2 linked regions of the Coturnix japonica genome follow. The main gene of each other region encodes a partner of the protein of the gene in region 2 in a complex. Links are inferred from orthologs where the notes say so. Each region holds a gene or a part of one and is shown on either strand. Other genes may lie near its edges.

Region 1 (3,825 bases), on a different chromosome or scaffold from region 2:
CCCCTGCAGAGCGTCCAGTGGAGAAACTTTACAACAAATAAATCAACTCCACCAGGGGGAATAAAAGGAGTGTGAACTGAACACAATAATCAGGCACACAGCGTTACCTACAGCTGTCTCTTTCAGAAAGATGAATACAGTGACGTTTTCTAAGTAAAAATATCCACAAATCACACCAAACGTAAGCATGAAACATTTTTCAGGTTTTTCAATCTCTTTCTAAGGGGTCACGGGTGGGACAAAGGTCACCAAAGATGCATTTATATGAAATCCCACAGGATACTGATACATCTCATCCACTTAATTGTTTCATCCAGGATACACGTAACACGTTTATAAACCCACAAACAGAACTACAAAAGTCTGTCTCGTGGGTGACTAAGAAGCTGGCACATTGGTCAGATGATTCTGCCTGGAGTTTGGACTGAAAAAAGTCACTAAATATCAAGCTGGAAGTTCAGCCATAACAATTAACATGAACTAAATGCAGCCAATGAGTCACAATGACACAACTGGAGAAGTGCAGAGTTAATATCACACTACTTAGAGATTATTTAAAACCTTAAAATTGTGAGACCTACCAAAACCACACCACTTAACCAGATATTAAACTTAAATACATACTTCAGTTAAAAACAAAATAAACTAGGTGCAGTCACATTGAAGGTGTAAGACCTGCCACCAGTACTACAAACAGAACTGTTCTGCTAAGACTCATACTTCCAAGACAACCAGTCTTACTTCTTATATCTACCCATATATATTTTATTAATAACAAGACTCCCATTTGTAAAAACAAACAAGATGTGACTTAGCCTGAGTTAACACGCAGTAGCACATACACTAGAAGTTACGAGAAAATTAATTCCAAGTATTTCTATTTAAAAAAACAGCATATCAGGATGCTGAGAAATTGCTAAATCTATTAAAATTTCAATAGATTCAATTACTTTATTAAGAACATATTTTCTTACAGCTAGCCATTCAATCAAAACCATAGAATGGAAAAATAGAGTGAATTGTTTAAAACACAACAGCTGAATACCCAATACCACATTGCCGAGGGCCTAATCTCAGTTGTCACTGGCTAAAGCACTGATATTTTATAACACAGAATTACTACTATCATTAAGAAGTGCAATATCAGTAAATAAAGAAGAAAAGAAATAACACCAACCCCTCCTCGCTGACCATCCACATGTATGGAGCGAATATGATCTGCCAAATCCGGGCTGGAGCTGAAGCAAGCGTGGCAGTGGTCCCAACAACAGTTATAAGCAATGCTTTTTGCAGAGGAGGCAGGAACTCCTTGTCCATTCATCATCACCGGAGTTGAACGTCCACTGGAAATTGTGCTGTCTACATCCATAATAGTGCTGCTTATGCTGTAAGAAGAAAGTTCGTGTTTGTTACACACTTTACTTGTTCCATTTAACTTTATGGCATTGTATCAGATACATTTAGGTCAAAAAGAATATCTTAACATTATCAATTATGATTCATCACCTAAAATAAAGCATTCAGCCAGGCAACAGCCACTATCACTCTACTGTGTAACACCTGGACAACAGCAACAAAAGACAGAGCTGGAAAGTTTTATCCCACTCACTAACTTGCCAGAAAATCTTGTGTGGTTGCAGCTACTTCTAAGGCACATTTTTACTCAGGGGATGAGGGGAAAGCATGTGTGGTCAGACCAGAGATGTATCCACACCTACATTCACAACTGACCCTGACGTTTTACAGGATGTTGAAGACTCCCACACTTAATTCCTTGCTCTGGTAGTATGACTATCACACACACAGATTAAATTAACCATTTGACCTTGTTTGGGGTTGTTGGTTTGGCAGTTTTTGGTGATTTTGTGTGGGTTTTTTTGAGGGTGGGGGGGAAAAGGGGTGTGGGGAGGACTGGGGAAGTAAACTTTTGTAAAGCAATTAGCAGCAACTGTTGGGAACATATGGACAGCAGGGTCATTTTTATCAGATGGTCTGTTATGAATCATGACAGACACAGAACTGAGCATGAAACTGGACCAGAAAAAAAAAACAAAACAAAAAAACTGTGGTGCTCATTTCATATTAATGTAAGAATTACAAAGAATTATAGAGGTAGGAGGATGTTGTTCCTGGATAAAAATTAAATAACTACGGACATGCCCTTTTTTTAAACCTAGTAAAGAAGCTCGTTGTCTTTTAGAACCCTTTACGTTTGTCTTCCATAAAGCCACAGAATCAGAGGACAGCTCATCTTTGAAAGGATCTCAGGGAGCTAATTAGTCAAATTTCCTGCTCAAACAGCAGCAAATAAGACCACAGAATCACAGAGTGACCTGGTTTGGAAGGGACCTCAAGGATCATGTAGTTCCAACCCCCCTGCCTGGCAGGGCCACCAAACATACGCCTTTACTAGATCAGGTTGCCCAGGGCCCCGTCCAACCTGGTCTTGAACACCTCCAAGGACGGGGCATCCACAACCTCCCTGGGCAGCCTGTTCCAGGACCTAACCACTCTCCTAGTGAAGAACTTCCCCCTAACATCCAACCTAAATCTTCCCTCTTTTATCTTAAAAAGATTGCCAGTACCTTCTACTTTTTAATGGGAAGTTTCTGCTACCATTCTAAATCGTTTTCTCAAACATCTTATTAACCTCATTGTGGAAAAAGGGAAAAATTTCCTAACATCTCATCAGAATTTCTAGTGTTCCAACTTTAGTCTGCCATCATCTTCTTCACTTTACAGTTGACAACTCCAGCCCTTCCTTTGCTATGCATTCCTTATCAGTAATAAAACAGCAATAACCCTCCCATTCTTATTCTAAAACTGAAGAAACCCCAGCCTCTCAGCCTCTCCAAGCACAGCATTTACTTCAGCTTTCTAACCAGCCTGGAGGCACTCCACTGGAGGCTTTCCAGTATGTCCCTGAGAGGCATATGTCCAAATGGATAGAGTAATCCAGATGCAGTTTCAAAAGTGCCAGGTAAAGAGGAACTATTACTTCTGTTGACCTAACAGATATACCTTTTCTAGTACAGTCTAGTACGTGGCAGTGGTATTTACCTAAGTGTCTTTACAGTCTTCTGAGTAAAATGCATGGAAAAAATAAAAATCAAATGGCATTACTTTAAAGGAAATGTTGCTCCATATTTCTGATGCCATACTCACTATCATTCTTTAACATATTTTGACATGGATGAAACAAAAACTGTACCACTAGTCAAAATTTGAGGGTATAACCAGCACATTTGCTCTTCTGCTTTAAAATAATTTCACAGAATCACAGAATGATCCGGGTTGGAAGGGGCCTCAAGGATCGTGAATCTCCAAATCCCCCACCACCAACCTCCATATTTAATACTAGGCCAGGCTGCCCAGGGCCCCATCCAACCTGGCTTAGGGAACTCATTTCATCATACTCCTTTGTTCCTTTAACCACTGCTAGCTACCATCTCTTTCCTCATTGCAAAATTGCAATTTCGCTTGTTCATATTTCACCCCTTCTCAACCATAGGCATTTCACTCTGTTTGTCAATATGAAATTTCATGTTAAGGTAGCAGACTCCCTTCACTTCCAGTTAGACCTTGTCAACAGGTTTTTGCTTTTATAGAAGTCTATCAAACATGAATTTGCTAAATATTATACAAATAACCATCATCTATTTTTCAATTTCATAAAAAAGACTAACCCTTTACACGGCACACCTTCTCTCCACAAAAGACACAATGGCTTCTTTCTGCTATGCAACATTTTCCCATATGCCCCTTGTTTATTTTGTTCCCTTTTCTATATCCTGCACATGTACAGCTTTCCACGCCCCACATCTA
Region 2 (2,787 bases):
CAGTTCAGTCTTCTGCAACAACAACCAACAAATCGTAGTATAGGACTTTCCTGACAGTCACCACTGGCAAGCTCAGTGCAATATGGGGTAGCTACGGTATCGTTGAATTCAATTACGAAACAAAACAGTTTGTGAAAACATTTTCCCTTTTTTATTCCACACATACTGTACACACAACCGGAAAAGGGCAACAGCTACTCCATTATTATTTTTTGTTGTTGTTCAGTGATGTAAGCAGCACTTATAAATGTTACAAGAAAAACCCTGTAAGCATCCAATCCAACCGATGAAGAAAGTGAAACGTAAGGCTTTTCTTCATCTCGTCTCCTCGCCACCCCTCCCCCCACCCCAAGAAAAGGCTCAAGTATTTAAAAAAATTTACAGGCATATGTACAAAAGGGGTGATTTTTTTTTTTGTTTCTTTTGTTTGTTTTTTTGTTACAACACGAAGAGAAAAAAAAAAAAAAAAGAGAGAGACAAGATGAAAGCAAATGCATTTTTTCACATTCAAAAGAAATACGCAGACTTGCTAGTGGCTCTAAACGTGATTGCATCGTGAAACGAAGCCCAGACAAAACAAATTAATGCTCAACGGTGTGAAGGGTGTGAAACACAGCAGTGGAATGGAAATGGAATGTTCAAAAGATTGCACGTCTATGACAAAAGAAGCACTTATGGCTTCAATCACTTTTTTTTTTTAACTTTTTTTTTTTTAAACTTTTTTTTTATTTTCTGTTGTTTTTTTTTGTTTTGTTTTGTTTTTTTTCTTTCCAAAGGATGCTATTGAAGGGTTTTTTTGATAAAGTAGCCAACAGCACCAAAAAATAACAGAATGGATTTCCTAATGAAATCAGGCACAGTTTTCCCTCACGTGACTCCTCAAGGCAGGCAGTCTTTTTTTTTCCTCCTTTTTTCTTTTTAAATTTTTTTTTAAATTTTTTTATTATTATTTATTATTTTCCCCCTCCAAACAGATGCATAGTGATGTGCTGGTAAAAGAGAACATACTCCAACTCCCCTCCTTTTGCCTACAGTTAGTTAGGAAACAAAGTCCTTCTTCAGCTGCCGTAACCTCCCAAAGAAAGTAAGTAAGTAAGTAAGTGTGGATCCTCCAATTTAAAAAATTACAAAACTCCACTTGCTGTGACAGAATAAAAGACAGCCAAAGTAAAGCAATTTCTTTCAAGTTTTTGTTTTTTCCTCTCCCATCCCTTTTCGCTCTAGAAAAATCTGCTCGCGTGACCGGAGAACAAATTAGAAAACTTTAACCTAGTCAAAAATGGGTTAAAAGCCTTTGTTGGTTTTTTTTACCCCCTCCCCCAGTTCCCAGAAAGGCTTCTTTATTTTCTCAGCCCCAGGGTCAATACAAATTAATATCGATCAGCCCCTCTCGCCGCTTTTAAAACAGTGAACATACGGCAGTTTAAAAAAATCAGACTGCTGTATCTACCTATCCTAAGTACAAAAACAAAAGAAATCCAACAGTTTAATGCTAAAACAAAATTAGTTCTCTAAAACCAGAAGAAAATCTTCTTTAGAGCTAGTGCAAAGACAGCTTGTATTCTACAGCAAGTACTCCAAACTATGGTATAATAATTACAAAAAATATATATAAATTGACAAAATGAGAGTGTTGGCATCTTCAGGATTAACTTGAAGCACTTTTGGATGAACTGGAGGATGAAAGCCTGGATGATGGCACGTCGACTGTCGCTCTCTTCCGAGGTCCTCTTTTTGGTGTGGGCTTGCTGATACAGTTCTCAATGCTGCCATTTTTACCAGATACTTTTCCACAGATTTGATTGACCAGACTGATTATTTGTTCCTGTTCAGGAAGTAGGAAAACAAAACACAAGTGAGCATCCTTCCTTTTTCCGAGCACCTCTGTTTGATAAAGCGGGTGTAGCGCCATCCTTTGGTTGACGGCACCTATAACCAGGGGGAAATAGCTGCTGCTTTGCTAACTGACTGCACGGCAGCCCATACGACCACTATTTCACAGGTGGGGTCTGCCTAAGAAGCAGTGCACTATACCTGGAATGGTGCCCCTGCTGTAGTTTCCTGCCTCTGAGTGCAGAGTCAGCGATGGGTGACAGGACTGCACCAGGCTGAGCACTGGGCTGCACAGATACAGCTCAGCAGAGCCAAAACTTTGCTGCAGACATGATTAAAGGCCACTGCTGAGCAAAGTCATAAATGCCATGAACTTACTGAAATCTGCAAGTGGCAACGCTTGCTACCTGCTGTTTACTGAATACTTATTTAAAACTTAGGGAGAAGGTCCTGCTTTTCCCTATTGAGACTGTTGCCATTTGTTACAGGATGCTATTTTCCGTTACTGCTTTTAAGGATCTCTGGATGCCCCAAGTGCTCCAGGCTAGTGCTTGGTGCCACACAGGGCCCAGGGCTATGGGTCCGTGGCAATACAGTAAGAACGAGACAGGAGTCCCTGAGCAGCACAGCACAGTGCCTGTGCTGCATCACCACTCCTGCTCTCGCTGCAGTCAGTGGCTCGGTGAGGTCTGGAGTGAAGGGAGAATGTCCCCTCCTGGCAGGAATCTTAAGAAGTTGGTTGTGGGCAAAGCACAGCTAACAGTTAAATAGGTTTAACAGATGGCATTTGACGTGAAGAATTGCTCTCTCTCTCCCTGTTCACAGCTCTCAAAAATAAATTATGTAACATCCAGCAGGCCTACACTGAGTATCCTTCAGAAGTGCAGAAATCGAGAGAGTCTTTTCATTTGGGGAAGAAATCCCCAAATCCCTGCTTTGTAATTATAAAACCAG

The links.
Region 1: the proteins of JARID2 (region 2) and AEBP2 are in contact, whole or in part, in a cryo-EM structure (PDB 8VNZ), measured with the Homo sapiens proteins. The link is inferred for Coturnix japonica from reciprocal best matches to the Homo sapiens genes JARID2 and AEBP2. Residues at the interface, in NP_004964.2 of Homo sapiens: Ser148, Lys151, Pro152, Lys153, Thr154, Glu155, Asp156, Leu158, Thr159; in NP_001107648.1 of Homo sapiens: Arg407, Ala410, Ile411, Asn414, Leu415, Glu420, Ser421.

Annotation. Positions count from the first base shown.
Region 1 is NC_029516.1:59,182,221-59,186,045, reverse strand, and holds part of AEBP2 (zinc finger protein AEBP2), read right to left. Parts: intron 1,386-3,825; coding exon 1,178-1,385; intron 1-1,177. UniProt on the Homo sapiens protein: Acts as an accessory subunit for the core Polycomb repressive complex 2 (PRC2), which mediates histone H3K27 (H3K27me3) trimethylation on chromatin leading to transcriptional repression of the affected target gene.
Region 2 is NC_029517.1:67,710,595-67,713,381, forward strand, and holds the end of JARID2 (protein Jumonji), read right to left. Parts: intron 1,826-2,787; coding exon 1,649-1,825; 3' UTR 773-1,648; downstream 1-772.